Rattus norvegicus: one gene and its partners. The protein of the gene in region 1 purifies or fractionates together with the protein of each later gene. This does not show direct contact. Links are inferred from orthologs where the notes say so. Each region holds a gene or a part of one and is shown in the gene's direction. Other genes may lie near its edges.

What was found.
Region 2: the proteins of Tuba1c (region 1) and Cct6a purify together in Homo sapiens (affinity purification with mass spectrometry; 3 studies listed by BioGRID and IntAct, with this or other methods). This does not show direct contact. The link is inferred for Rattus norvegicus from reciprocal best matches to the Homo sapiens genes TUBA1C and CCT6A.
Region 3: the proteins of Tuba1c (region 1) and Txndc9 purify together in Homo sapiens (co-immunoprecipitation; 3 studies listed by BioGRID and IntAct, counting the BioPlex papers as one, with this or other methods). This does not show direct contact. The link is inferred for Rattus norvegicus from reciprocal best matches to the Homo sapiens genes TUBA1C and TXNDC9.

What each region holds. Positions count from the first base shown.
Region 1 is NC_086025.1:132,069,918-132,079,595, forward strand, and holds Tuba1c (tubulin alpha-1C chain), read left to right. Parts: upstream 1-1,066; 5' UTR 1,067-1,148; coding exon 1,149-1,151; intron 1,152-4,686; exon of another isoform or gene 4,687-4,775; coding exon 4,776-4,998; intron 4,999-5,129; coding exon 5,130-5,278; intron 5,279-7,593; coding exon 7,594-8,568; 3' UTR 8,569-8,672; downstream 8,673-9,678. UniProt on the Homo sapiens protein: Tubulin is the major constituent of microtubules, a cylinder consisting of laterally associated linear protofilaments composed of alpha- and beta-tubulin heterodimers.
Region 2 is NC_086030.1:32,511,625-32,522,890, reverse strand, and holds the start of Cct6a (T-complex protein 1 subunit zeta), read left to right. Parts: upstream 1-3,818; 5' UTR 3,819-3,836; coding exon 3,837-3,973; intron 3,974-4,601; coding exon 4,602-4,665; intron 4,666-5,408; coding exon 5,409-5,543; intron 5,544-5,863; exon of another isoform or gene 5,864-5,998; intron 5,999-6,122; coding exon 6,123-6,296; intron 6,297-6,714; coding exon 6,715-6,818; intron 6,819-7,473; coding exon 7,474-7,584; intron 7,585-7,793; coding exon 7,794-7,953; intron 7,954-8,030; coding exon 8,031-8,113; intron 8,114-10,344; coding exon 10,345-10,441; intron 10,442-10,697; coding exon 10,698-10,845; intron 10,846-10,894; exon of another isoform or gene 10,895-11,025; intron 11,026-11,266. UniProt on the Homo sapiens protein: Component of the chaperonin-containing T-complex (TRiC), a molecular chaperone complex that assists the folding of actin, tubulin and other proteins upon ATP hydrolysis.
Region 3 is NC_086027.1:47,707,157-47,717,781, reverse strand, and holds Txndc9 (thioredoxin domain-containing protein 9), read left to right. Parts: upstream 1-20; 5' UTR 21-110; intron 111-206; exon of another isoform or gene 207-342; intron 343-1,197; 5' UTR 1,198-1,217; coding exon 1,218-1,406; intron 1,407-3,267; coding exon 3,268-3,386; intron 3,387-6,263; coding exon 6,264-6,518; intron 6,519-9,539; coding exon 9,540-9,657; 3' UTR 9,658-10,108; downstream 10,109-10,625. UniProt on the Homo sapiens protein: Significantly diminishes the chaperonin TCP1 complex ATPase activity, thus negatively impacts protein folding, including that of actin or tubulin.

The sequences.
Region 1 (9,678 bases):
CAACTTCTCCCACAATGGAGACGCTTACCTAATTTGTTTCCCTGAACTCTCATCTCCTCATGATTTTTAAGATGGGGACAACAACCACCGGGCTCTTGGACCAGATAGAATGTGGTACCACAGTGTGGACATTCAATTCTGCATCCCACAGAATCAGAGAAAGGGATTAGTGTGGATCGTTTGAGGCCAGTTTGAGCACTGCAACGGGAACCCATCTTTGAGGTGGGGGGGGAATGAAGTTACAAGTTCCTTTCATAATGGATCGTATCTACCAGGGTAAGGCTCTTAAAACCCGAATGTTCACTTAAAGGGGAGCTGAGGCAGACTCTGCCTTCAAAAATAAAAGGGCGCTGGGGATACGCGGGTAGATTGATATCCTCAGGACTTGGGGTGGGAGAAGAGAGGAAGGAGGGAAGGGCTAGCCTTCTAGAGGGTAGGAGTAAAAAGTGCTTAGGACCCGCTGGCGGGTATTGAGACCTAGGTTAGGAAAGATTGCCTTCAGGAGCTGCAGCCTGATGATGCTGTAACCGGCTTTGGCCTCGGCTAACTTCAGCTCCACCCTTCCCACTGTGCCGTCAAGTTAACTGGGCGTTTCCATCCTAGCCCCCTGAAGCGGTCGCAGTCACCACCCAGCCGGCAGCCGCAGGTCACCCGGTCACCTCTCAGGCTCACTCTTCCCGGCTCCAAGACCTGGGTGGGGCGACCGAGCCACAAGTGCCGTGGCGACCAGCTGTGAGTCCCCGGGGGCCGATCCAGGCCGCCCCCCTCTACCTGGGACTTTCTTCCGGTCAGAGCTCCACAAAGATCTCGCTGTCCTCCAACTTCCAATCGCCTTCTCCACCTCCTTCCCCGCCCCACCTGGCCCTGGCGTGGATCCTGGGTGTCTCCTCCCCTTCCCACTTCCAGCTCCTTCTACGGAGTTTGATTTGAACTTTCGAACTCGCCAATCATCGGCCTCCGTGCGGCCCGGGGCGGGGTCCGGTGTCCGTCCTCCCGACGCGTGGCCCGGCCAGGGTATATAAGCACTCTCCGGGAGGCGGACCTCACACAGCTTCTCCCCCGGACTCCTTGGTAGTCTGCTAGTGGGAGACCTTCGTCACCCCCCTCTTCACTTCCTCAGTTTTCGCGGACCACTTCAAGGACTAAATATGGTAAGTGTGGCTTTGGGGCAGCGGCGAGGTCGTCTGAAGGGACCGCGGGAGCTGAGGACTGCCCGGGAGACCGTACCTGCCCTAGCCCCCGACGGCCGCCTCCAGTTAAACTGGCTTCTGGCGACCAGGGTTTGAGAGCCCAAGTCCATCAAACTAGTGTCGCTTTAGGCTAGAAGACTCGTCCCGGTACCTCTGTCTCGATCGTACTGGGAGAGCATCCCGTCTAGGCCGCCAGTCGCTCTCGGAAAGACAGAGAACTTTCACAATGACCGCAAGAGTTTGCAGAAACTAAAAGCTCTTCATTTTCTCAAATGCTGTCGCTCTCTCAGCTGGGATAACCAGAGGACCTCGTGCGCTGCGGACAGGGCTGAGCAAATACTTCCGGGCACCGTCTCCACGCCCTGTGACTCGCTGCTGAGTCACCTGTGGCCAGTCCCGGGACCTTCCAGCTGTGTACCTGGGAAGGCGAGCTCCTCCGTAGGAGGGGAATAATGGACGTCAGATCCCCTAGGCCAGTCTAGTTTCTAGTGTGTTAGTTCAGTGGCATGAAAAATGTCTATAAAGATTTTTTTCTATAAAGTTAAACTACCAACAGCATTCCGTCCCCCCCCCCCCCCCCCATAAAGGGTTTCTCTGTGTAGCCCTGGCTGTCATGGAACTCACTGTGTAGACTAGGATGGCCTCCAGCTCGGAGATCCGCCTGCCTCTGCCTCCCGAGCTGGGGTTAAACGCAAGCCTAATTTTGGTTTTTGAGTGTCTTATGAAGCTCATGCCGGCCTTGAAATCACTATGTGGCCAAGCATGACCTTTCATTAAAATTAGGATCCTTCTGTCTCCACCACCAAGGCCTAGGATTACTCACCCTGGCTAACAATGCATTAGTTCAGTTTTCTCGGGACAGTGGCTGGGCTCTGGAGGCAGAGGCAGGCGAATCCTCTGAGTTCAGGTAAGCCAGGGGTACATAGTGAGACTCAGCACAGCTTGGAGGGAGCAGCTAGTTCTCTAATCTTTGGAGGCTGAGACAGGGGGATTGTTCATGAGTTTGGGGCTTCTCAGGCTCCCCGGTGAGTCCCAGGCTAGTGTGGGCTACAGAGTGACTAATTTTGGTAAAAGGCCCCTCCTTGCTAAATAAGTTTAATTATTTGGAAGACCATGTACTTAGCGTAGAAGCTACTGGGTTTTCATCAGAAGAGAAGGAAACAAAATCAGACACATGGTCAGCTGCCAATAGAAATGTAAAAGAAAACCCCATCCCGGCATAGGGCGTAGTTTCACAATCCAAGCTAACTCCATTGATCACCTTTTGACTTAGCAGCTCCTTCCCACTTGTTTCTTATGAAACAGTCAAGGTCGTCTCCCCACACCAGAGGGTTCAGCTGTTCCAGAGCAGCCCAGGGATAGTGAAAATAAGGAGCAATCATTTAAGATCTATGGAAGCTTTGGGGAGGTGGGGTATACAGTCCTCACGTAGCCCAAGCTGCCTCTAAGGATCTGAGTTGTGGATGACCTTGAACTGCTGATCTCCTACCTCCTACACTAGGACCGGGAGCCTGAGCCACCATTTTGTGTGGTGTCGGGATGGAGCACAGAACTTCACACATGCTACACAAGACCTCTCCCCACTGAGCTAAATCCACAGCCCAAAGGCTGTTGTTGCCTTCTGTTTCACTCGCTTTTGTGAGTGTACTTTGAGGTGGTTGGTGTGCTTTCGGGGGCAGGAGAGGACAGTTTTCCTCAGAGTTGAACTCCGAGTTCAGGCTCAGTGGTAAGCTTTTTCCAGGTGAGCCTACTGGCCTCCCACACTCCGGGAGACTTTCAAAATTGTATTCTGAAAGAGGGATTCGGTGAGTATGAGTAACCGGACCTTAATTACAAAAGTGTAACAACGACTCTGTAGTTACAAAAGTGTAACAACCGACTCTGAGGTTACAAAAGTGTAACAACCGGCTTGCTTTTGATCAAGCAAACCCACAAAGATACAGTTCAGAAAAGCCCCAGGCTCACCTATTAGGCAAGCGTGGGCTTAAGTGTATGGTTTCGCTACACAAGCAAGCCTCTTATCCAGTTGAGGCTAGACTAAATGATTCATGTGTGCCTCTTGACTTTTCCTTCTTAGCTGCCAGGAGTGGGTTTGTGAAATCTTAAAGATTTCACATTTATCAAGTGGATGCATGTGTGCCACGGCATGCCTGTGGGAATGAGACAACTTGGGAAGTTGGTTCCCTCTTTCTTTACACTAAGGTCCCTTAGATTGAACTCAGGTCATCAGGCTTGGCAGAAATCGACCTTAACTCTTCTTTCAAGCCATCTTGCCAGCACAACAAAGCCGTTTAGAACCAGAAATTGGGGGACCAAAAGGCTACAGTTGAAGTGCCTCGTTAGAATCAATGGGCCTCAGACACTGCTTCCCTGGGCCTTGTGCCTCTGTCTAGCTTCTGGGGACTGGAGGTTCTAAAGTCCAGGTAAAGGTCACTTGAACCAGAGCTGCCCCTCCCCCACAGTCCTCAGGGCAGGAGACCCTGAGCTCACCGATGTGGTCAGAACCCTTGATTGTTTTATGGGAAACACAGAGGGACGGGTCAAAGGTTGTGAGGAATGGCTTCTTGTTTGATTACTCTGGCCTGAGAAGCTTCTCCTTAGAAAACCTGGGTGTTGAATGAGTTTCCTACCAAGGACTTTTAAAAGCCTGAGAGACTTTACTACTTAAGGAGAATAGCAACAGTTGGAGACTTTTTATGTCAAATTTGAAGGAAGGTTTTGCTGCCAAATTCAAAGTGCTCACCTCACACTGAATTATGAATGCTGGGGTTTCACTGGGGGGTATGGTGAATCCTGTGGGTTCAGCATCTGCACTCATTGGACCAATCAGGAATGGTAACTTTGGTAACTTCAGAGTGACTGTTGAGCAAGGAAAGGAAAACCATTGCGTCCCCTGACCTCCATGGTTAAATTCTTGTAATTACTTTTCCACAAGTGCCAGAAATATGCAATCTGATCTACTAGGGAACCGCTAATTTCCCCTTTCTTCTCCCACCTCTCCTGCCCCATTTCTTACTATTACGGTAAAGTTTTAGGAGAGAGACCGGGAAGGAAAACTGTTCAGGCAGATTAGTGTGCTCACTGGGGGCAAGGCTGCTTCTGGCCACACTTAGCATACAACTGTCTGCTTATCTGGCATTTTCTGTGAGTCACGGGGCTAGTTTAAGCTGGTTTTAAAGGGAAGAGGAAGTTTTGTCTCCTAAAGAGGGAATAAAGAAGAACTGTAGTGAGCTCAGGGGTGACAGTCACCCTTGACTCAGCCCTAGGATGGAAAGGTTCCGCTTTCAGTCCAAGGGTTCAGCTGGGGAATTCTGGCATGAACTTGACTGCCGCTCTATAGTATTAGAAAACTGATCCTGAACTACTGTGAACACAATCTGTGGAGGGGCCTGGCCCTGCCTAGTAGGTCATTATTAGCGTTAATGCCTTCCAGAGTACTTTTTCCCTTGAGTTAGCTCTTCAGTAAAAATTCTTGGTTGTGAAATGTCCCAGGCAGGAGTGGCCTCTGAAAAGTGATCCTATCTTGAGTCAAGCCCCAGGTCCTGGTGCGTCATGCTCTGACACTTTCTTCCGTCCCTTCCACAGCGTGAGTGCATCTCCATCCACGTTGGCCAGGCTGGTGTCCAGATCGGCAATGCCTGCTGGGAGCTCTACTGCCTGGAACATGGCATCCAGCCTGATGGCCAGATGCCAAGTGACAAGACCATTGGGGGAGGAGATGACTCCTTCAACACCTTCTTCAGTGAGACAGGAGCTGGCAAGCACGTGCCCCGGGCGGTGTTCGTAGACCTGGAACCCACAGTTATTGGTAAGCGGACTGGGGGCTTCCCTGGGGCAGTCCTTCTTGGTCACATACTCAGAATGTCTCTCCAGACCCGGAAGGGTGAGTGAGCTTGTGGGGTCCTTGGTGGTGTTGGCTGATGTCTTCTCCTTTTTCAGATGAAGTTCGAACTGGCACCTACCGCCAGCTCTTCCACCCAGAGCAGCTCATCACAGGCAAGGAAGATGCTGCCAATAACTATGCCCGTGGCCACTACACCATTGGCAAGGAGATCATTGACCTTGTCTTGGACAGAATTCGCAAGCTGGTAAGAATAGTGGGTTGTGTTCTGTGTTCTAACCAAGACTTGGGGGTCTTATGTATATTGAGTGAGACCAGCAAGCTTCCCAGTCCCCTAATCCTGAAGGCCATGTTAAGTCTCTTCGTTTCAAGCTCAGACATTCACATCCCTTTTTAGGTCCTCTCTGTCACACTGAGTAGGTGGCTAAGGCCTACATGTGACTAATAAGTAAAGCTCGTTTGGAAATCTGGACTGGAGTTTCATGTGAATAAAACTCGTTCATAGAGCAGCCAACTTGGCATACACAGGCCCCAGGGTTCAGTCTTCAGAACAGAAGAAACAAAGTTTCAGAGCCCAAGAAGCTGGTTTGACACCATTTATAGGGGCTGCAAGAGGTAGCTTAGCACTTAAGAGCACTGGCTGCTTGTCCAGAGGACCTAAGTTTGATTCGCAGCATCCATGTGGTGGCTCACAAAATACCTGTAACTCAAATCCTAGGGAATCTGTTGCTCTCTTCTGGCCTCTGTGGGCACCACACATAAGGCATGGAGATCTACATCCAGGCAACATCATATACATAAAGTAAAATTAAACCAGGAAATGAGGCGGCCTACAGAAGAACCCTTAAGCTAGCCAGGTGGTAGTGGCAGAGGCCTTTAATCCCAATACTTGGAAGGCAGAGGCAGGTGGATCTCTGAGTTCAAGGACAGCCTGGTCTACAGAGTGAGTTCCTGGACATCCAGGGCTGCATAGAGAGACCCTGTCTCAGAAAAAGATTAAAAAAAAAAAAAGAAAGAAAAGTAAAGCAAACAAACAAAAGTAGTCTTCCTCCAGCAAAGCTTGAGATGGAGTCAGGAGATTCCATATTGCAAAACACAACCTATGTTGATGGCACTCTGAAGTTCTAAGGTTAGAAATCCCAGAAAAACAATTTCCTAGCACTCAGGGATGCGAACTGGCTCTGGCGGGCCAGTCCTAAGCAACTCTAGTCCTAGACGCCCTTACCTCTTCTGGGAAGTGTGTTTTAATGAGCAGTCTGGCAATCAGATGACCACTCTACCCACTCTGTGAGGCTTGTAAGTGATTAACCAGAAAGGAAGCAGGCAGGCAGGCAGGTGGGGTGGAGTGGCTTGTCGGGAAAGTCAATCACTTTGTGCTAAGTCCAACCACACATGGTCTGTTCTAAAAAGCACCAGTTTTACCTCAGCCTCACACATGGAAAGATTGTAGCAAATGGCTGTAGCTAAGGACATTTCAGCAACAACACAGACTTGGGATGTTAGGGACCTGCCTTCCAAGGCACAGAAAGCAAGTAAAAGGCATTTACAGTTCTGGGATGACCACAACCAGAAGAATTGACCTTGGTGTCACTGTGTACCCCAGTGGCATGATGGATGTGACTCGACGAGGATCTTCCTGATAGTCCTCGTATGTCATCAGAATATGGACGACGCATGAGTGACCTGAAGGGTCAGTTATTAAATGTCTGCGGAGTTAAGAGTCTCAACAGAAGACTATTTGAAATAATTAGGGGTAGGGAGATAGCCGGGCAGTAGAAATACTTAGTACGTACCAGGTTCTCTCCCTGGGTATCAGGTCAGATTTGGCCTGCAGTCAGAGTAGACCACTTGGATGGAGCGGAAACCATTCTAGGCCTAGTGGAATGTTAATGTATAAGGAGCTCTCCTTGCCCAGAATGAATCAGCCCCACATACCGAGTGTGTACTGTGCCAAGCATCATTCCCAGTACTCTTAATTCCCAACCTGAACTAATAAGTGAGGCAGAGGAATTTAATTTGTCAGGTCACACATGAGGAGGTAGGGCCACCCACCTCCAGCCTGACACTAACTTGGGCAGTGAAACTTGGCTGTCCTGACATTTCACACCGACTTGGCAACATATCTGCAAGTCTGAATCCTGCCCTTTTGATAACTCCAACTGATAAGAGAGGTGCATGTGCCTGTGATCGGACCCACAGCAAGGTCACCAGAGACAACCTCCCAGCAACCACTTAGGGGGACTGGAGAGATGGTTCAGAGGTTTAGAGCACTGTCTGCTCTTCCAGAGGTCCTGAGTTCAAATCCCAGCAACTACATGGGTGGCTCACAACCATCTGTGATGAGGTCTAATGCTCTCATCTGGTGTGTATGAAAAAAAAATCGGTTTTGGGAAATGCCCCTATTCCTCAGAGGTTCTCAGTCACTGAGCACTTCGAATCCTTTTGCAACTCTTCTAGATGTTCTGAAGACTCCCAAGGTTATAAATTGTTAATTGCAAACTCAGAAACACCCATTGCAGCTCTCACAAAATATCAACATTGAAATGAACTTTTCTCCCACAGGCTGACCAGTGCACGGGTCTCCAGGGCTTCTTGGTTTTCCACAGCTTTGGTGGGGGAACTGGCTCTGGGTTCACCTCCCTGCTGATGGAGAGGCTCTCTGTCGACTACGGAAAGAAGTCCAAGCTGGAGTTCTCCATTTACCCAGCCCCCCAGGTTTCCACTGCTGTGGTTGAGCCCTACAATTCCATCCTCACCACCCACACCACCCTGGAGCACTCTGATTGTGCCTTCATGGTAGACAATGAGGCCATCTATGACATCTGTCGTAGAAACCTCGACATTGAGCGCCCAACCTACACTAACCTTAACCGCCTTATTAGCCAGATTGTGTCTTCCATCACTGCTTCCCTCAGATTTGATGGGGCCCTGAATGTTGATCTGACAGAATTCCAGACCAACCTGGTGCCCTACCCTCGAATCCACTTCCCTCTGGCCACTTATGCCCCTGTCATCTCTGCTGAGAAAGCCTACCATGAGCAACTTACAGTAGCAGAGATCACCAATGCCTGCTTTGAGCCAGCCAACCAGATGGTGAAATGTGACCCTCGCCATGGTAAATACATGGCTTGCTGCCTGCTGTACCGTGGTGATGTGGTCCCCAAGGATGTCAATGCTGCCATTGCCACCATCAAGACCAAGCGTACCATCCAGTTTGTGGACTGGTGCCCCACTGGCTTCAAGGTTGGCATTAATTACCAGCCTCCCACTGTGGTACCTGGTGGCGACCTGGCCAGGGTGCAGAGAGCTGTGTGTATGCTGAGCAACACCACAGCCATTGCTGAGGCCTGGGCTCGCCTGGATCACAAGTTTGATCTGATGTATGCCAAGCGTGCCTTTGTGCACTGGTATGTGGGTGAGGGCATGGAGGAGGGGGAGTTCTCTGAGGCCCGTGAGGATATGGCTGCCCTAGAGAAGGATTATGAGGAGGTTGGGGCAGATAGTGCTGAAGGAGACGATGAGGGTGAAGAATATTAACTCCTGTGCTGCAACTTTACACCTCTGTGGTCTCATCTTTGTCCTTGCGTGCGTTTTAACTGTCCTATACTGTCAATAAAGGTGTTTCCGTTTTAAGTGGGAAACTGGCTTCTGGTTCACAGCTCTCTCCCCTTTCCCCTTTAAGATTGCATCTCTCTAGATAATCCAGGCTGGCTTCCTGCCCCTGTCACATAGCTGTCACTGTCCCTGATTTGGATCACGGATTCATCACCCATTGAGTGGGTCCAGGTGGGACTAGTGATGAGTTGACCATTTTCTTTATTTTTTTCTTTTATTAGATATTTTTATTTACATTTCAAATGTTATTCCCTTTCCCAGTTTCCCAGACATAAGCTCCCTATCCCGTCCCCTTCCCCTTCTATAAGGGTGTTCCCTTCCCCTTTCCCTGCAACATTCCCCCTACACTGGGGAGTCCAACCTTGGCAGGACCAAGGGCTTCTCCTTCCATTGGTGTTCAACAAGGCCATCCTCTGCTACATATGCAGCTATGGGTCAATCCATGTGGACTCTTTGGTTGGTGGTTTAGTCCTTGGGAGCTCTGGTTGGTTGGTATTGTGGTTCTTTTGAGCAGTTGACCATTTTCTAGTTTCTATTAGCTGCTATGTTCTGTGCTCACTGATTAAAAACAATGTGTAAGTTTGGACTGGAGAGATGGCTCAGCGGTTAAGAGCACCGACTGCTCTTCCAGAAGCCCTGAGTTCAATTCCCAGCAACCACATGGTGGCTCACAACCATCTGTAATGGGATCCGATGCCCTCTTCTGGTGTCTGAAGACAACCACAGTGTACTTATATAATAAATCTTTAAAAACAAAACAAAACTTCCAAATGGAAGTGTACTTCAGGTATTTCAGGAGGAAAATTTTCCAGTCTCCCAAGCAATAGGACTTGGCCCTGCCAAATCCCCAACAAAAGACATGTCCCAGACTGGAAGGGGTTCTCACTGCAATCCTATAGTTAACCACAGGGAAGCAATGGTGACTGATAGAAAAAACTTTGTGCCACTCGTACTGAAGAGCAGCTGTTCTGTCAGATATTAACATTAGCGTGCAGAATGACTGGCTGGCTCTGATGTGGGACTGTAATTTAG
Region 2 (11,266 bases), on another chromosome or scaffold:
CAAAAGAATCAGCACAAGGTCATTCTGAGCAACATACTAAGTTTGAGGCTAGCCTGGGCTACATGAGACCCTGTTAGTTTTGTATTTTTTTTTAAAGATATAAATTAAGAAAATAATGAGGTCCGGGTTTGGGACTGTAGTTCAGTGGTAGGACGTGCACCTCTTCAGACTGAAGGACACGACACTGATTACAATCCTGGATAAGACCCTAGGACAGAAGCAACACATCAGAGCCATGGCTAGGGAATCTCAAGCTAAGTGATGATTAATTCGTTTTGTTTGGGTTTTGATTTCTTTTTAATAAGCCCGAATGTTGCTGCCTGAATGCATGCATGAGCATCACATGTGTGCCTGGTGCCGTCCGAGGTGAGGAGAGGGATTCAGATCCCCTGGAGCTAGAGTGAAGAATGGTTTTGAGTCCCCATCTGGGTACTAAGAACCAACCGGGGCCCTCTGTAAGGGCAGCACATGCTTTGAACTGCTGAGCCATTTCTGTGGCCCTCTTATGTCTTTTAAAGATTTTCAAATTAGTTTTAGTTATGTATTAGGGACAGTCTACAAGCAATCAGCGCCCACAGAGCCAAGAAAAGTACATCGGTAACTCAATTCTAGCGGATCCTGCACGCTCTTCGAACTTCTGAGGGTATCAGGCATGCAAGTGGTATACAGACAAACAGTAAAACACTCATAATCATAAAATAAATAAATAATGTTTTAATTTTTTTTTTAGACCAGGTTCTCTGTGTATCTCTGATTTGATGTCCCTGGCTGTCCTGGAACTTGATTTGTAGACTGACCAGGTTAGCCTCAAATTTGGAGATCTACCTGCCTCTGTTTCCTGAGTGCTGATTAAAGGTGTGGTGGTCAAGCAAATCCCAGTTCTTGAGTGGGCAGGAGGATCAGGACTTTAGGTCATCTTCAACCAGTGAGTTTGAGGCCAGTTTTGGCTCCATGAGACCCCTGTCTGGAAATGATGGGCTCAATGGTCAAGGTGCTTGCTTCCAGGCCTGGTGGCCTGAATCTGATCCCAAGGACCCACATGGTCCAGGAGGTGGTGGCAAGTGGATCTCTGTGAGTTTGAAGCCAGCCAGATCTACAGCAAGTACCAGAATAGCCAGGGCTCCATAGGAAAACACACACACACACACACACACACACACACACACACACACACACACACAGTAGTCCTCTGACCTCTCTAAATATACTCTGGCATAGATGCAAACACCTATACACACACAAATGAGTGTAATAAAACCTTTTTGAGATTCTGTCTCAAACAACCACAAAACTCTTTAAAAAGATGGGAAAGCAGTTGTTGGGGGTAGATCAAAGAATGTAATAATCACATATCTCAAATGTATCTTACAGGCATCCCAGCATGTATGTGAAATGTCACAGAAATTTTTAGTTGCAAAATATCAGAATAAATTTGACCCAATGGGAAATTGGTGAAATAAATTATAATGTAGTCATTTAGTGAATTAGGCCACTGTAAAAACAAAACAAAACAAAAAACAAAAACAACAACCAAAAAACAAACAAACAAACAAACAAAAAAAAAAACCAAGCCATGTAGTGGCACTCACTTTTACAGCACTCAGAAGGCTAAGGCAGGTGGATCTCTGAGTTCGAGGCCAGTCTGATATACAGACTAAGTTCCAGGGCAGACAAGGCTACACAGAAAAAACATGTCTCAAAAAAACAAAACGAACGAAAAAACAAACAAAACCAGTCTAGTCAGATGTGGTGACGTTCTGATATCCCCTGTTGAGAATGACAGTCACTGGGACATACATAGTTCAGAGGTTAAGCTCCCACCCAAAATGGTGGGTCTAGTGGTGCATGCCTGTACTGCCTGCATTTAGGAGGTAGGCAGATCGATCGAGCGGGGGGCACAGCGGTTAAGAGCACAGGCTGCTCTTCCACAGGTCCTGTGTACCACACTCAGCACCTAACATGACAACTCACAACTATAGCCCTAGGAGGCCTCTTCTGGTACGCAGATATACACACAGACAGAATGGCTATGCACATGAAATAAACAAACAAATAAATAGGAGGTAGGTAGAGGCAGGAGGATCAGGAGTTCAAGGCTAACCTTGTCTGCATAGTGAGACCTCGTCTCAAAATGAAAACAAGCCACAAACAAAGAAAAAGCAGCTCCAATATACGCTTCGCTAATGTTTTAGGGAATATTATATTATCTCCAGTGTCAGCACCGAGTTTTCCTGGGCAGTCTTGAGTTTTCCAACTCGATCCAACATTTTCTTGCCCTGTTCTCTACTTTGTAAGCAGACGACTGACTCTGCAGTCTCCCTCTGCCTTGTTTTACCAGCAGTGATGATGAAACTGCCAAGTGGTCTACAAACGTAAACACGAGTCTTCTGCATGCCAAATATCATATGCACAGCTTTTGCGATCTCTCAAATCTCCAAAGCTACTTTAAACATTATACTTAGTGTAGCCAGAATAGCAAGAGGTTTGGGAATGTCAGTCCGATGACTGGTTAGTTCTTTTTCCTTTTTAAATTTTCTGTATTTCGAACCTATACACCTGCTAAACCTTCTGTTTTCTTTGGACAGGGTCTCACTACGTAGCCATGGTTGGCCTGGAACTTGCTATGCACACCAGGCTGGCCTTGAAGGCACAGAGATCTGCTTGCCTCCCATGTTCTGGGATTAAAAGCATATGACACTACGCCTGGCTATGTATCGTTTCTGTAATGAGTATCACACAGATGTTGAGGGGAATGAGAATTTCTTATTCCTATCAAAATGGCAAAACCTTCAGTATAGCTCAGTAGAATACATCCAACGGCATTATGAGTTGTCATCTGTGTGGAGAAGTGACTCAAAAAAATTCAGCACGTATCGTATCTATACCTAAGTGCCCAGACATACTGGCAGGGGAAACATCTATACGCTTAGTTGGTTTTGTTTTTGTTTTTGTTTTTTAATGTTTAAAGGAATGCTTTCAAAGACTGGGTACCACTGTCCAGCCATATTTGAGTTTTTAGCAGGCTTAGTTCATAACACGTTGGAGGTTGAGGCAGGAGGATTGCTACGAGTCCGAAGCTAGACAGTGAGCTGTCTAGCCGGGACACAGAGTGAATCTTTGTTTCATATTTTTAAAAATTAAGAAAACAAAACTGCCTCAATGACCTGGGCCCTAAGAATAGACTGATTCTTGAGGCTCCTCAACGCCCATCGCACCACTCCTAAAGCCATCTAGTACTTTCTGCCTAGCAATAATGCTCCCGTCAAACTCCGGGATTTTTAAATGACCAGGGTAGAGGGGAAGGGTCCATTTTCTGTGTTCCCACATTCACGGATAAAAATAGGCAAGACAAATGAACCTGGGAAACCTCGCGAGAGTGTGAGGGAAGCATCCCGGAGTCCAGTAGCTAGAGACACCCCGCAAATAGAGGCCGACACCTCTGCTTCCTGTCACGCCCAGTCGAGTGCCGAGGTCGAAGCATCCCTCACACACGAGCAGTAGTGCTTTTCCTGCAAAACTGGCCGCGCAACCGCCACGCCGTAATCCTTAAAGCGCGGAACCGCAACGTTGTGAGGCGAGCACAACGGAACCTTAGAATTCGGAGTGCGGATTACCGGAGAACAAGTTTCTCGGATGCGCAATGACGTCGCGACTTGGCGTGTGGGCGGGCCCAGAGAGACCAGCGTCAGGATAAGCCAATCAGCGGGCACCAAGAGAGCCACAATCCAATGGAGGTGCTCTGTGGGCACGCTGGGGGCGGGCCAGATGCGTAAGACTTTTCGAGAAGACCCGCATAGAGCACGTTGTTCTCGGCCTCTCCCTGAGCTCGACCAGCCATGGCGGCGGTGAAGACCCTAAATCCCAAAGCCGAGGTGGCCCGGGCGCAGGCAGCGCTGGCGGTGAACATCAGCGCGGCACGGGGCCTGCAGGATGTTCTGAGGACCAACTTGGGCCCTAAAGGCACCATGAAGATGTAAGCCCGGGCTGGCGGGCGGGAGGGCCTGGCGGGTCAATGGCCGCAAACTCCAGTCGCTGCCTCCAGGCCTTCGCACTAGCATTTTCTACAATGTTTGTGCTGCATCCCATCCAAACCACCCGGATTCGCGCCTTTCGGGGTTGCGGGTTGCACCCACTTCTTTTGGAGGAAGAGGATGGCGTGTGCACCCTTCCTGAACCCAGCCCCCCCGAGTTTACTAGGATGTAGGAATAAGACCCAAATTTCAGGAGGATCTGTTTTTGTTACCTTATTAGCCAGCAAATTAGTGAAGTTCCCTGAGACGTAGCGCTTGGATTTTTAAGTATACTCTTAGTCACGCCTCTCGTATCCGTTCCTCAAATTACGCCTGCTTTGGAGTCCTATTTCATAGCCTCCTTTTGTCCCCTTTACTCCTCTTTCGCTTTCGTGGGTCTTTTCATTATGTAATTAGTCGAGGTAGAGTCTGACTGATAAGTTATGGTTTGTCTGGAACTCCCAGAGATTTGCATGACTTTAAGAGAGGGTTGGGTGATATACATCACCCCTTGGCTGCTTTGTGGAATTCTTACTTGCTTTTTTATTGGAAAGTCACATTCTTGCTCATCAATCCCTGCCCGTTTGACAGGCTTGTATCTGGTGCTGGAGACATCAAACTTACTAAAGATGGCAATGTGCTACTTCATGAAATGGTAAGAAGCTGCCGTGCTAGGTATTAAAAAAAAAAAAAAACTTTTGACCTGTTCCTTCTGGATAAAATTCTTCATCGTACGTTTCAAGCAGAAATATAGGAAGTGCTGTAGTGGGTGAGGAACTCTGTAGAGTCTCAAATGTGTGTTTGGGTCCTTGGTATTTTGTTTTGGTTTTGGCCTACTTTGTATAGTCTGGGCTAAAAAAAAAATAATAACAATAATTGTATAAAAGATCGCTATGTCTGCTTTAGCTAAATCTTGTAACACAGCTTTAATCCCAGTACTCAACTAGATCTCAGGATTCAAAGCCAGACAGAGCTACATATGCAAAAACAGGGCAGTGGGAAAGAAAAGCAAAAATGAATGATCATCTTTTTACTCAACTGCAGGAGAAATGAAAAATCTCCTTACTTTGTTTGAGATGAGTCTCACTGTGTAAGCCTCAGTGATTACCTACTTTCTTTCCCTGAATGCTGGGATTAAAGCTGTGCGCCTCACACCAGGCTACCTTAGAGTTGTTATTTTTGTCCCTGGGATCATATTAAATTGACCCAATTACCCATTTCCCTCACCAGAACTTTCAGGTCCTGTAGTTCACATCCCAGTAAAGGGAATGTCTTGAACATCCAACCAAAATGTAGCCATGCTGTGCAATCTTGAGTGGGACGCTGTAAAAGAAGCCTTTCTTATGTTTTACCCTAGGTAACCATAAGTCATTTAAGTAGTTCTTTTTCTACCTGCAGCAAATTCAACACCCAACAGCCTCTTTGATAGCAAAAGTGGCTACAGCGCAGGATGACATAACCGGCGATGGCACTACATCCAATGTCCTCATCATCGGAGAGCTGCTCAAACAAGCGGACCTCTACATTTCTGAAGTACACAATGATTCATGTTTCTGAGTTTCTGCTTGTTGTTTGGTGGGCTAATGGTGCTAATTGATGTGATGCTAGCTGAGGGCACACCGTAGAACGGTTGAGCTGCTTAGCTCAGAGAGCCTCTGCCTGTCTGTCACTGGTCTGAAATGAATGGGAAAAAATCACCTCTAAGTAATGATTACATATTTTTAATGGACTAGCCTACTCTGGTTTCTTTTTAAAAATATTTCAAAATGATGTGAATTAGTTTCAGATTACCTGTAGACAAGAGAAGCAAGCTCTTACAGCAAAATGTTAGGAGCCAGTTTTGAGTTCGTGGATTGCACAGTGAACACCCAAGTGTGCTCTGTAGTTCCCTTGGCCTTGACTCTGTGCTAGAGTAAAGTCTGTTCTTTTCCTCTGCATTGAAAGGAGTACTGTGTCCTTTTAAATGTATTCAGAAAATCAGCACACCATCTTAATTGTAGTGAATAGGAGGGCCCCAGGGTGTCCCTTGAGATTACTGACTGACTGGGTTTCAGTGGTATCCTGTTGAAGATGCAGGTGTTGGCACTGGCTTTATAGCTGTTTGGATTATAGGGTCTCCATCCCAGAATAATAACCGAAGGCTTTGAAGCTGCAAAGGAAAAGGCACTCCAGTTTTTGGAACAAGTCAAAGTAAGCAAAGAGATGGACAGAGAAACACTCATCGATGTGGCCAGGACATCTCTGCGGACTAAAGTTCATGCTGAGCTTGCAGATGTCTTGACAGAGGTGTGTATCGGCCTCGTGTGGTGCAATGCATGGGGAAAGTCTGATGTAAAAACCTGTTCTAAGCGTGCATGTGTAGGCTTTTCACAGAAAGTCTGTGTAGAGGAAGGGGTTAGGGTTTTCCCTGGGCAGTAATGATCTAATCTGTCTTCAGCTTGGAAAGATGGAGTTAGTAACAGGCCAGGCTTAGGAAGAATTGACACTCCTCCAAAATGTCTCTAGTCATACTTTGGGGAACTGGTCTGCTAGTCCACAATACAGTATGAATTGTAGGGCTGAGATTGGGGACCTGTGCCACCATAAAATAGCACTTGTGGGGTTTCAGAGACAATTTTCTTAAGCCTTTTCCACTCTTCTGAACAACAGCTAAATAAAGTGTGTCAGGCTCTGCACATTAAATTTATTAATGGTTATCTCATAGGCTGTGGTGGACTCCATTTTGGCCATTAGGAAAAAAGATGAGCCCATTGACCTCTTCATGGTTGAGATCATGGAGATGAAGCATAAATCTGAAACTGATACAAGGTAGGCAAGAGAATGCTTTGAAGTGCTTTCTACCACTGAGCTGCGGGCTTCCCCCCAGCCCCCAGTCCTGAGACATGTTCATACTGGATAGGTTGCTGAGTATGGCATTTACTCTAAGTAGTATGCACTGTGGGGATGAGGGAAGGCTGTGCTGTGTTTGTGGTCGGTGTGATTTGAAATGTGAACATGTATTGATACGCTTGACTACAGTGCACATGTATGAGTGCTGTATCTGTGTATATGCCTGCATGCCAAAAAAGGGCATGAGATCCCATTATATATGGTTGTGAGCCACCATGTGGTTGTTGGGAATTGAACTCGGGACCTCTGGAAGAATGGCCAGTACTCTTAAACTCTGAGCCATCTCTCCAGCCCTGAAAACATTTCTTTAAGGAGTTGAAGTGATCACAGTTGGATAGCCTGCTAGTTGTAGACTTGCAAGCTTGTTTTTGCCTAGGTGGCCTGTCTTGTGTCTTAGAGCATTCCTTTTTCACATTTGACCTTAGGTTTAACTGAAAAGTTATTGAACGACTTTAGAAGCTAGTGGACCTGTATAAAAATTAGCACTGTAGGAATTACTTGATTTTACTTTATTATGTGTCACTTTCCCGTCTCTGTTTGCTAACAGAAGTGGGATAAATTTTCTGTTTTATAGCTTAATCAGAGGGCTTGTTTTGGATCATGGAGCACGGCATCCTGATATGAAGAAAAGAGTAGAAAATGCCTACATCCTCACATGCAACGTGTCCTTGGAGTATGAGAAGACGTGAGTGTGGCCCCTTTGGGTGGGAGGAAGTTAGTGTTTGTCTCATTACCGTCCGCACATCTCATTACAGTACAGACAGTAATGAGACATGGGGGCTCGGTGATGTGGAGCCCACTGGTGCAGCACTTGCTTTTTAGAGCCTAATACAGGGCCCTTAAAAAGCTCATATAACATGGAGATCTCTTCTCTTTTTTTTTTTTTTTAAATAGAGAAGTGAATTCTGGGTTTTTTTACAAGAGTGCAGAAGAGAGAGAGAAACTAGTAAAGGCTGAAAGAAAATTCATTGAAGATAGAGTTAAAAAAATCGTAGAACTGAAGAAGAAAGTCTGTGGTGATTCAGATAAAGGATTTGTCGTTATTAATCAAAAGGTAAGAACTTAAAATTATGAATGAGTCTCACTTACTTTTAAGGTGACAGCGATTGAAGAATGTTTGTTTCTATGCAGGGGATTGACCCCTTCTCTTTAGATGCCCTCGCGAAAGAAGGCATCGTAGCTCTGCGCAGAGCCAAGAGGAGAAACATGGAGAGGTGAGTGGTGCCAACCTAAGAAAGTTACAATTGTTCCCTTCGTGCTTCTGCTTGCTTTCATTTTACTGGCATGTTTTAGTTCAACAGACTTGTTGATTTTCTTCTTTTTTTTTTTTTAATGATTTATTTATGTATATGAGTACACTGTATGTCTCAGACACACCAGCAGAGGGCATCGGATCCCATTACAGATGGCTGTGAGCCATCATGTGGTTGCTGGGAGTTGAACTCAGGACCTCTGGAAGAGCATTCGGTGTTATTAACCCCTGAGCCACCTCTCCAGTCCCTGATTTCTTTATTATACAGGCATATGATGCACTTTGATCACTTGCACACTCCCTGAGTCTCTGGTTTCCTTCCCTTCCTGTTACTGCTGGCTCCTGTTAGCACATAGTCCGTTTTTAGCTGGGCACTGTGGGCGCTATGGCACACACCTTCAATCCTAGCACTGGGAGAGCAGAGGAACGGTGCTCTCTTAAGTTTGAGGCCAGCCTGGTTTACAAAGCTAATTCCAGGACAGTCAGGGTTGTTACACAGAGAAACTGACTCAAAAAAATGACCTAGATTACAGACTCTTGCTTTTACTGTGGCAGTCTTACCTTTGTAAAAATCTACATTTAAAAGCTTTTTTGTGTATGTGCAGGCTTGTGCGTACCACAGCATATAAGGTCCAAGGACAGCTTACAGTGTCTTCTACCATGTGGATCCCAGGGGTTGAACTCTGGTTGACAGGTCCCCAAGTTTACCATTTAATTTCACTCTATTGTCTGAGCTTGGCATTCCTCAGCCTTCCGAGTATATGGTTAGTGCCAGGAGCTGGGGAGATGGCTCTGTTATTAGAAATATATAATTGTTCTACAGAGCACCTGAGTTCAATTACCAGCACCCAAATGATGGTTCACAACCACCTGCAGCTCAGAAGTCCCCCTCTGGCCTCTGTGGGCTCACAGAAAAAAATATAAAGTACAATTCATTAACTATGGTTCCCACTGGTCATCATCTATCACTACACTATTACACTATTTTTTTCTTCTCCTAGCCTTTGACACCATCAAAAAGTGGATGGAAGAGATTTGTCTTTTTCCACGTCTTTACATTTTTTATTATGATTTTATTTGTAAGACAGTCCCAGGTGGCCTCAGAAGCAAAGAGACCTATCTGTCTGCCTGACATCTGAGTGCTCAGATTAAAGGCTTGTGCCACCATGCTATCTGTATTTTTCCTGTTTATGTCTTTACCATGGGCGTTCAGTGTCCGTGGAGGTCAGTTTAGGACATTAGAACCCCTAGAACTGGAGTTAGGGAAGCTCAGTCAACCTGTGGGTGTTGTGGTTTGAGCCTCGTCCTGTGTATGAGACGCTAGGTGCTCATGGCTGCGCTGTCTCTCCTGCACATTGTTTTTATTGGTCTTAGAGAAAGCAGCTGACATGAAAAGTACACTTGTGGAATAGAGTGGAGGGGCTCAGGAGCGACAGCCTGGCGTATCTCACTCGCTTGGCATATCTTATAACAGGAAGTCAAAGGAAAGCTGGCTGGTGCTCCATTGCGTATATGTTGTCCTGTTGGTTCTGAGATTTACACGAAATTCTATGAACATTACTTTATACGTTTTATTTTTAGACAGGGTCTCAATATGAACTCACTATATAATAAACCAGGATGGCCTCCAGTTCAGAGATTAACCCTGCCTCTCCCTCCTGAACCCTGGGATGAAAGGCAAGCATCACCATGCCCAGACATGTGTTTTATTTTTTTCAACCATGACATAAGTGAGACCTGTTTTTTCTTGCCTAGAGGAACATCAAGAAGATAGTATGTTGGATGTGGTTGCACACAAACTGTAGTCCCACCACCACTCACGGAGTGGAGGCAGGCTCTTGGCCTGTGTACATGGCTCAACCAAACATTCAGTATTAAAAACTAGGAAGATGGGTTCGGTCCCCAGCTCCGAAAAAAAAAGAAAAAAGAAAAAAAAAAAGCTAGGAAGAAGGTTCCTAAGGAATAATCTTCCCACAGAACCCCATCTGTAGTCTGGTTTCTTTGTGACTGGTATTTTGATGACCTGGCAGGGAGGTTTCAGTTGAGGTTTAATGGGCCATCTACCCACTGGGTTATGATGAATGCGAAGGGGGCTGCTTTAAGATACACTCTCATGCCATTCTGAGAATCTCCTTGCTTGCACCTGATCACCGTGGCTTACTGTAATCTCCCCAATGTGTTTCACTGTTGCAGGCTGACTCTTGCTTGTGGTGGGATAGCTCTGAACTCCTTTGATGACCTGAATCCTGACTGTTTGGGACATGCAGGGCTTGTCTATGAGTATACATTGGTAAGTGTTTTCTTTCTAAGACTTTTTTGTTTATCAGTGGTCGAGTAGGAAACTTTAAACTCAAAATTAGATGGTTAACAATTTTATGGGGTTTGGTTGGTTGGTTTGAAATAAGTTGGTTTTTGTGTTTGTTCGGTTTAAGATAAGGTTTTACTGTATAGCTTTGGAACTCAGAGACCTTTGCCTCTGTCATAGAGTTAGAGACCGTCATGACTGTGGGTAACCTGTTACTGACAATAATTTCTCTTCTACACAGGGTGAGGAGAAGTTCACCTTTATTGAGAAATGTAACAATCCCCGTTCTGTCACTTTACTGGTTAAAGGACCAAACAAGCACACGCTGACTCAGATCAAGGATGCAATCAGAGATGGCTTGAGGGCTGTCAAAAATGCTATTGATGATGGTAAGAACCTCTCGGTATTTGAACTGTGTTCTTGTTGCTGGTCTAACAGGCATGGCTGAATACTGTGTTCTTTAGTCAGTAATTTACACAGCCAGACACCATGCAAAAGTAAAGGCTTCCGTTTTAGATGGCTGATATGCTATTTTGTATGGTATATCATTATCAAAAGTGAGTACAAGTAAGTGGCTAAGGCTGGTGGCTCCTGAGCTACTGATTACTGCTTATGGTAAGATTCGACCTTTTTGCTGGCTATTGATTGCTTATACTGTGGTATAAGTAAGTCTGTGCAAGGGGTATTGCCTATTGATACAGCACTTGCCTAACACAACTGAGACCTGTACCTCCATCTCTGTTACTGTAAAAACTGCATGCACGTGAGTGTGTGTGTCTGTGTATGTGTTCACAAGCATAGTGAATTTCT
Region 3 (10,625 bases), on another chromosome or scaffold:
CAGCTCATTCGCCGCCCTTAACAATTGCTGTGAGGTTGAAACCTGCGTGAACCTGGTCGGTGCTCTTGGTCTGCGGCTCCCTCTCTCCGTAGGCTTCACCAATAATCCAGGTACGGCAGAGGGTTCTGTAGCCGATCTTGCCACTGCGTCCCCGTGTAGATGAAGGACACACATCGGCTGCACATCCGGCTGGGCTGGGGGCGGCTGGGAGGGCCTCGTCTGGGCGGCTGCGGAGGCTACGGCGCATGCGCCCCAGTTAGTGCGAACTAGCGTCCTCCCCACCCCCCGGAACTCCTCCACCAGTCCCTTGAGCTCAGGGAGTGGCGAAGAGTCCGCTGACAGGTACACGGGGTTAGGGTTTCGGGTAGGAGTTTGTAGGGGAACAAATAAGTGTCAGCCCCCCCAGTTCATCGGTAAGAGTAATACTTAACAAATAGAAAGTTATGGGGAACCACTAAGCTACACATCCTTAGCCCCACCTAACCCAGCGCAGCACTTATTAGTCTCATGAAGCTCTGAATTTAAACTTAAAGGTCTGTGAAAACCTCAGGGATAAGCGACTACTATGCCCTGTTAATGGCAGATTGTGAGTAGCTGGTCTCGGATCCCTTCATCTAGATCTTCCTGAAGAGTCACAGTCTTATTGTATCTCTCCTCCCCAGGTTAGGGAACCTGGGGATACAGCTTTTAAGTTGTATAATATTCATGAGGAGCTGAAAATTGAGGCTTAGAGGGTAGTTTAGGGATTTTTTTTTTAAAATAAATGGTCTTATGTAGTAGCCCAGGCCTGTCCTCCAAATATATCCAAGGATGGTCTCAAACTCCTGATCCTTATGCTTCTGCCCTTGAGAACTGAGGTTACAGTCATAAGCCACCGTGCCCAGGGTTATTTTGTGTGCGAGTTGATTAGTTTTAGCTGCCAACTTTATGCAGTAACTTACAGTCACCTGGGAAGAAAGACTCATTGAGAAATTGGGTAAATCAGGTTGGCCAGTGGGTATCTTTATTCTGGGGCCTACATGGCTGAGTTTTAAGGCCAAAATGATGCCTCCAACATGGCGCCTGTTAAGGTCTCAGGCCTTATAGAGACCCTGTCTTTTAAAGAAAAACAGAAACAAAACAAAAAGAAAACAAAAACAAAAAACCCAGAGTGTAAACTTAATACTTGTTTTTTTATGAACCCCTCCCCTCCCCCAGCACCAAGACCATTTAGGAAAATGGAAGGAAATGGATCTATCGACATGTTCTCAGAAGTCCTAGAAAACCAGTTCCTCCAGGCTGCTAAGCTAGTGGAAAATCACTTGGACTCTGAAATTCAGAAACTGGATCAGATCGGTGAAGATGAGCTGGAACTGCTCAAAGAAAAGAGACTGGCGGCGCTCCGGAAGGCTCAGCAGCAGAAACAAGTAACCTCCGCCTGCTCTCTGAAACCACTGTAACCCTGTGCTCCTGACTGCACTGTGCAGTCATGTGACTTTCCCTCCTCACTTGCAGGATGTTCCAAATTCACACGACACTGTTCAGTAGCTGCCCAGGAATAAAACATTAGGGAAGACTTAGGCAAGATGTACCATTTGACTGAGGCGATGACATGTGAAAGAGAGACATTGAGACTTTTTCTTAGGGCAAGCTTAGGGTCCACACATCAAAAAGAAATACGATGGTTGTGTGTGAGAAAATATTTCTAAGTGTTAGACTTGCGTTTTTATTAGGTTGTCTTGTCTTTTGTGGGAGGGCAGGACAGGAGCAGGATCTCACTGTGTAGCCATGATTGGCCTAGAAATCTCAGACATTTTACCGCTTCTGCCTCCGAAGCGCTGGGGCCCAAGGTGTGCACCAGCACCCCCATTCTGTCTGTCATCTTCATGGCCACTCAGTGACATGGTTGGGTTGTTGCACCCACTTACAAGAGAGAAGGTGAAGTGGAAGGCTCCTTAAAACTGGTCAGTGCGCTTACCTAGGAAGCGCAAGGCCCTGGGTTCGGTCCCCAGCTCCGAAAAAAAAAAAAGAACCAAAAAAAAAAAAAAAAAAAAAAAAAAAAAACGGTCAGTAAATGTCGGATGGGCGTGGCCACTGCAGCCTCCCTTGTTACTTTTCTCCTAACCAGCAGCCTGAAAGGGAGAGTGAGCATCCGTTGAGGTGACAAGCTTTCTGCTACAGGGAAGGGGAAGGGGCTGGAAGAGTCCCAGGCTTGGTTGACAAAGGCCCTGCCTCAGCTTGGGAACCTGAATTAGATGTGAGGCTTTTTTCCCTGGCTTTGGACACCACGTGGGTGGGATACTTTTCCTTCTGAGGACTCTGCTCACTATTGGCTGCTCTAGAAGCCCCGGCCTGTTTTGAGATTACTGTCAGAAGCAGATAGGGTCCTAAGCTTCCTGAGCTTCGATAACTGCACTGTCCCCCAGGGTGGATGGGCTTTATTTCATGAGGTGGTTTGGTTTAGTTTGGTTGTCTGTTTAGTTATGCTGTGGATAGGACATTATTTCTTAAATTTGAGATTGTCATAGGATTATATCATTCCCCCTTCCCTTTGCTCCTTCCAAGCCATCCCATATTCTCCCTTTCACGCTCACAGCCTCTGTTCTCACTAATTGTTGTTACATCCCTATATGTGTGTGTGTGTAGACATACACATTTCTAAATATGCCCTGCTCAGTCTGTAATGTTAACTCGTGTGTACATTTTCAAGACTGACCATTTGGTAGTGGACAGCCAGTTGGCGTGCTTTTCCCTGGAGAAGACTCTTCCTCCCACTCTCAACATTCTTTAGTTGCCTGTGAGAGCATTACTTTCTAAAGTGTAGAAAATAGTGAGTGTGTGTGTGTGTCTCCGTGGTAGAGCTCTCCTGTCTCCTGCTCTTGCTCCTGGTTCAGTCCCTCACATCACAAAAATAAACCGAAAAACCGTTTTGTAATCAAACAACCCTGATTTTATTAGTTTAAAGAGCACACATGTGAAAGTTAAATTGGTATTTTCATGTTATGTCTCACAGACCTAAATTCTGGCTGTGAAACTTAAAATGAAGCAGGTAAATGAACAAGGTGCAGAACTGCCCTAATGAACCCCTGTCATGAGACGGTCACTCCTGCCCACAGACTAGCTCTGCACAATGGCCACTGAGATCCTAGGAAAGCCAACTGCTGAAGGAACACCTGCTATGCAATAGAATTGATTCCCTTACAAAATTACACAATGATTAAGAGATATAAAACACTCGGTACCACGAAAACACGTGTCAGCTGGGTCTCTTGCTTCTCTTGAAATTAGGAATGGCTTTCCAAAGGACACGGGGAGTACAGGGAAATCGGCAGCGAGAGAGACTTCTTTCAAGAGGTCAAGGAGAGTGAGAAGGTGGTTTGCCATTTCTACAGAGACACCACATTCAGGTAACCTGGCTTCCGCTCTTCTCTCTACTGGGATGAGACATGTGCGTAGAGACACTGCTGACTTAGAGCAGTCACGTGTGGTGATGTGGTCACAGGTGTTTTCATTATTGTGAAGATTAGCCTAAGCCAGCAAGCACCTTGCAAGTAAATAAGTCGGTCTTATCTGAAGTCAGTAGTCCTGTGTAAATGTTTCATTGTGCCGAGCTGTGGTTTCTCCATGTAAGTCAAAAGACATCCAGAAGTAAGTGCTTGTAATTCTTACCAAAACAATAATTTGATATGCTGTGTTCATAGGATGCTGGAAATTGGGAGCCAACAACTTTCATAATTGTTTATCCCTTCAGTCTTTGTCCTCTTGGTAAGGACACAGTGGCTTGACCAAGTCTTTCAGCAGAACTGCAGTTGGAACAGTCAGATTTGGAGAGAAGTAATTTCCCTTAAGGCAACCCAGAAAGTAGCAGGACTCCCGAGTTACATTTTTTGAGGGAGAGAACTGAGAATTTGGACATGCTAAACAACTGCCCTACAACCAAGCTCAGCCCAAGAGGTGGTGTGTGTGTATGTGTGTGTGTGCCTTCAAAATGGGTTAGTTGCCAACCTTTGAAAATTGACAACTTAAGAACTAGTCAGATTTTTTAAAAACTAGAAAAGCTGATAACAGATTTAGAATCATAATAGCAATTTTCTGGTGCTGCCTTTCTCAGGTGGACGTGCAGGGTAACTGACTCGCTGCACTTCAGCCCTTCCTCAGTAGGGAGAGAAGACAGGGCTGAGGTACAGTGAGGGCCTCAGCTTAACCTCAGAGCCACCACTTCAGTGTTAACGCTTTTCAGGGCCTGAGTGCCTTGGATTAATTTACTGAGAATTAGAAAGGCAGAGGCATAAGAAGTGCCAGCCCACCACAGCAGGGGTAAAGCAAACTACCAAGAGCAGAAGTCAGGTGGAGGTAACTGATGGAGGAGACAGTGAACCACTGGGGTGCTCACCTCCAGGCTGATCTGGGAACCCAAATTCAAACCATTCTATTGTCTTGTATACAGCCTCCAAAGTCCCCTCACAGAGTAAACTGGGCACATCTGTGAATGAGCATTTGTCTGTCAAACATTTATCGTAGCCCTCTGAGGTGTGGGTCACGATTCTCTTCCTTGCATGGAGAGTGAAGTGACTCGGCTACTGGGTGATGGAGGAGTCCCATGTTTTAAAAGTGAGACTGCACTTTTATTAAGATTTATCTATTCTTTGGGAATAAATGTGTGCCTTGCCAGCATGTGTGTCTCTGCGGCGTACGTGCACACAGATCAGAAGATGGACTCAGATGCCCTGGGGCTGTCATTGGGAATGGATGTGAACCACGTGGGTGCTGGCAGTGGACCCTGCAGTGGTTCTCTGCAGGAGCGGCCATGATCTTAACGCTGAGCATTCTCTTCAGCTCTGCCTCTGGGTTTTTAACTGCTGTTCTGTTCTGTTCTGTTCTGGTAGGTGTTTCATTTGTTACTTGTTTTGTAGAGGTTTTTCTTTGTTCAGTTTGTTGATGGTGGTGTTTTTGCAGTGTTAGAGAATAAACCCACAGCTTCATGCATGGCACAATTTTTCTTTTCTTAAGACAGGGAGGGTCTTGCTGTATAGCTCTGGCTCGCCAGGAATATTCACCTGCTTCTGCCTCCCACGTACTGGAATTGAAGGCATACAGCACAATGCTAGATTTTTAAAGATAGATTGATTGCTTGTGAGACTAGACAGAGGGCAGCAAGGAGGATCTCTGTGTTGAGCTGTAAGACCTTCTCTCAGAACAACAGCATGTACTAACTGACAAATGGCCTGGTCATAGGCTTTATTAAAATAGGTTCCTTCTACAGTTGGAGTGTGGAGGGAGTTTATGTTTCTCACAGATTCGTAGTTTGTTTTGAGCATCATTTAAAACCTGTTATCTGCTCTTTTTCCATTTTATCTCTAAAATCTTGTCTTGTTTTGTTATTTTGGTTTTCTGAGACAGTGTCTCTGTGTAGACCAGGCTGCCCTAGAGCTAACAGAGAATCTACCTGCCTCTGCCTCCAAGTGCAAGGATTTAAGGCAGGTACCACTGCACCTGGTCTAATCCCTGAAGTCTCATTACTGAACCATCTGGCAACCATCTTAAGCCAACAAGACAAGATTAGACATCAAGGACGCAGGAAATGCCTGAGCCCGGACCTAGTTCTAGAGTGACCCATGTACTCAAGAGTCACCTGTGCACTTCCCTGTGCCACCCGGAGACTTTCCACTCATCTGTAGTCTGTAACAGTTACCTATTAGTGAGTGGTAGTGGGGCACAGGATTCCTGTCTCAAAATAAATAAGTAAATAAGAGTCACCTCTAACGAACCCTGTGCTTACGAACCACTGATCATAAAACATTGGCAGTTCATTTAGAAACACACTAGGAGCTTGGTTTGTGTAAAGCAGATTTTAATTTAAAGACAGTGTTCCTTCCTCTTCAGGCTTAGTAAAGAGTATGGAGCTGAATGAGCATTTACTGGGTTCCGTGTCTGTCCCTGAGGAGGGGGGAGTCCCTGCTAATACTGCCCATTTCTCTAGAACACACTAGCCATATTTAAAGAGTCTATAACCTTTAACCGAAGAGCTTCCTGACAGTTACATGGTTCAGAGAGGTCTCGGTGACTCCAGCTTTCAGTCCTGAATTCCAAAGGGGACACCAGCTGTATTTTGCCTCTTGTGAGTTCCGTCAGCCTCAGGTCTGTCTTCATGCACAGGGGAACCAAGACCCTCCTTGTTTTTATCGTAAGCGTAACAGTTCATAAACTCATAGACTCAGAGAAACTGTGAGGTGGGCTGTGCAGGGCTGCTCCTTTAGCTTTTACTTCTCTGCCTTAACTTCCAGGTGTAAAATACTAGACAGACATTTGGCAATTCTGGCCAAAAAACATCTTGAAACCAAGTTTTTGAAGCTGAATGTGGAAAAGGCACCATTCCTCTGTGAGAGACTGCGGATCAAAGTTATCCCCACATTAGCTCTCCTGAGAGACGGCAAGACACAAGATTATATTGTGGGATTCACCGACCTGGGAAATACAGATGACTTCACTACAGAAACTTTAGAATGGAGACTCGGTTGTTCTGATGTTATCAATTATAGGTAACGTTTAGCTAAAACAAAAAAAACAAAAAAATAGACTGTTTTGAAACTATGCATAGTCAATAGTTTTAGAGATTTTTTTCATTGTACTTTTATTTTTGTTTTTGTTTTTTAAGACAGGATTTCTCTATAGTTCTTTCTGTCGTGGAACTCTCTGTAGACCAGGCTGGCCTTGAACTCAGTGATCTGCCTGCCGCTGCCTCCTGAGTGCTGGGATTAAAGGGACACACCACCACATCTGGCTAGTTAACATTTATTTTATGAAAGTAAGGCCTAATAGCTAAATTGTGGACAGCTTGGGGGGAAAAAAAAACCCAACACTTCTCAGGGCATACAGCAGTGTGATCTTACAGCAAAACCAAGTTTACAGTTAAAGACAGGTTTAGAGGTGGCCTAGACGTTTTCAACGTAAGAAATGTTACTGAAACTAATTTTAGAAGCCCAAAGTGGCATTCCAGAATAGATTACCTCTGTGTGAGGGGGGCCTTGTTCTTTGTTTTTTAATGTTAGAGATTCAACCCAGACCCTCTCGTACGCTGGGCAGGTCCTCTGTCCCTAAGCTATAGGCTAAACCTTGCCTTCCCAATCTCTGACTGACTTAAAGGACTCTCTGTGATGAAGTTAAAATCGCAAGCACGCCAGCCAGCACAGGAGGCGTTACGCTTGTGCAGTTGAAACCAGGCCCTCACAATGCTAGCTGTGCTGGCCCTGAAGACTGTGGAGACAGTAGGGTTTTAGGGTAGACTCTTGTCTGTCTCCTGTGCAGTCTACAAATGCAAAAGGTTTCCCTGCTTCTCTTACTCTGGAAAACAGTTAAAATCCCGCTTCTGGTTTTTTGTACATGACTTTTATCCCCTTCAAATTGAAAGTTACTACCTGTGTTCTGTGCCTCATGCTTAAAAAGAGAAAGGAAAAAAAGACAAGGAAAATTGTGCCTTTCAAAGCAGAAAATCTCCCCTTTTCTTTCCCTACTGGTCAGTTTCTTCTCGTTAATATTAACATAAATTAGCATTGGTTCAACAACATGGGAGACATTCCTAAACTATAGAAATCAACTTCTCTTGTTAATATTAATAAGTTAACATTCATTCAACCAAATGTTATATTTTGAAGGTTTTGTTTTGTTTTTTTGACATTTGGAGACAAGGTCTTACTCTACAGTCCATAATGTTACTCCTCCTGCCTCAGCCTCCCAAGTGCTAGGATTACAAATGGGGTCCACCGTGCCCAGCAGATCAGTTTCAAGTGTTGATTACGTTGCAAGCTAACAAAAGAAATCCTCACACGTCTTTACAGTGCCTTGCCACTTTTAAACGCGGTGTCAGACGCGCCTGTAAGTTTCTTTCAGAACTACTTGAGTGTATTTCCTTTTCTTGAAGGTATACTTCCTAAGAATAGGACATTGTCCTGCACACTACCTGCACTTACTAAAACAGTGACGATGTATTTTATGGAACCTACTCAAACCACCATCCTCTTGTTGTTCTCCATGTCTGAGAAATAAGTCATGTCTAGTTTTTGCATTTAATTCCTGTAAGGATTGGTAATTTAATTTTCAAGGTGACAGCTTTGCCGTGTGGTGGCGTGTGTCTTTAATCCCAGCACCTGTGATGCAGAGGCAGATGGATCTCTGAGTTTGAGGCCGACCTAGTCTACAGAGAGTTCCAGGACAGCCAGGACTACACAGAGAAACCCTGTCTCAAAAAAAAAAAAAAAAAAAAAAAAAAAAAAGGTTGTGAAAGTATACAAGCTAGCTAATTCCTCAGATGCTCCCAGTCTGAGATTGTGAATTTATCAGTGTCAGACCCAGATCCTGTGGCATGGCTAGTTTTCCACAGGAGGATGTCCATGCCCTCATTCCTCGTGCATCGTAAGCCATCGTCTCTATTTAGTGGTAAGGCACTGGGTAGAGCACTGGCCTGTCATGCTAGGCAGTTGTTGGATGAGGAACTGCCTGTTCCATTACTTGCCCACTTAATGATCGGTCTGGGCCATGACTGACTTTATCCTGTGGGTTATCATCTGTAAGTCTTGTTATACTTTGATCCTTCCTGTTTGATCCAGACGAAATATGACCTCCAGGAGAACTTGTGGTTTACTCTCCAGAGTTAGCTGTGTTTCTATATTGATTAATTTATTTACTGTTTGTTTAGGATAGGCTCTCCCTACATAAGCCATGTGGTCCTCAACTTCTCAGTCCTTCCTTACCCTCCTGGCACCTGGAATCACAGTGCCGCCCCCACCTACCCCCATCACACCTGCACGCGCGCGCACACACACACACACACGCACACACACACACACGCACGCACGCACACACACACACACACGCTCGCGCGCACACACACACGCTCGCGCGCACACACACACGCACACACACACACACACACGCGCTCGCGCGCACACACACACACACACGCACACACACGCACACACACACGCACACACACGCACACACACGCACGCACACACACGCACACACACACACGCACGCACACGCACGCACACACACGCGCACACACGCACGCACACACACGCGCACACACGCACACGCACACACACACGCACACGCGCACACGCACACGCACACACACACCTGTCTCTTGTCATTTATTTCTCTAGCATCCTTGTTTAATGCTATTTCCAGGTTGATAATAGCACATTCCATGAGTCCGTCAATATGTGTAGAAATGTAACACTGAGGTGCTACCCAGGAAGAGTCACGAGTCCCAGCAGGAGCTCAAAAGCAGCAGTGTTGCCTGTCACTGGCACGGGGCGGCACAGGGTCAGTGCACCTTCGCTTTTCTCTCTGCCCTAGCATGCAGAGGGCCAGTATCCTCTCCATCACCCCAAAATTGTTTATAGCAATGATCATGATAACCAAGAAATTCAAGCATTGTCTAACACAGTTAAATAGTATATGAAACTATTAACTTGATATGCGTGCTTTTTATAGTCTAGCATCCTGCGGATACTAAATCATAAAGAATAAAATGCTCTTATCCTTTGTTTCACTTTCAGTGGAAATTTAATGGAGCCACCATTTCAGAGCCAAAAGAAATTTGGGACAAACTTCACAAAGCTGGAAAAGAAAACTATCCGAGGAAAGAAATACGATTCCGATTCTGATGATGATTAGACTGTGCTATACTTTAAAACTTTCTGTCTGTCTGTGTGTATGTCTGTCTGTCTGTCTGTCTGAGTTAACGTGTTTTCTAAATTCCACTGATTTCGGCCCATTGACCATCTGATACTCTTATCCCAGCGTTTACACTGTTTGACCATCTTGTCTATGGTCATTATGTATAACCTGAGAGAAACAGATATTTTAAATTACCTGGGAAGGGTCTGAATTCTCTATTTTTGTGGTTGTTTTTTTCATAATGTGATTCTTCTATCTTTAAACTGCTCACACTTGTGTTTTTAATCTCCTGCATTAGAAATAGAAATTCAGCCCACTCTTGTAGGCCCTACTGAGTGCTGACTATACACCAGGTTGGACACCTTCCCCTGGGCACCACATGCACTTCCCTGTCAGCGATCCACTTCATGGAATGGCTTTCAGGAACTATTAAAGACTTAACCATGTGTTCTGGATACAGCATGTTGAATCTGCTGAGACCAGCAGGAAACTCAGGTTGTGAGCATGTTGTCTTATTTAAGGGATCCTCATTGTTAAGTACATGCTGAAACATGTGAAAACTACTTAAACAGTTTTTGGGTAACAGCATAAGGAACTCCATTGACTGCTCAGTAAAACAACTTCAGCAAAGGTGAAAATGTGAGTCTGGAAACAGCATAAAGAAAAAGAAAAACCAGGTCTTGTGTTTAGCATGAACAAAAAGAATCTGATGCCCAGAACTAGCAAGTCTTGGTAAGAAAAGAGAGTGTAGCATCATCTATTGAAATAGACAGCTCAGTGTAGAAAGGCACTTGCCACAAAACTTGGGGACTGGACCCATTGGTGGAAGGAAAACAATTCCTGCAAGTTGTCATTTAATGTGCACACACAATACAAGAAATACAAATGAATTGAATTAAAGGTGTCTTGGGATTTGAAAGCAATCTAAAAGAACACAAGGAACTGGAGAGACTGCTCACCAGTTC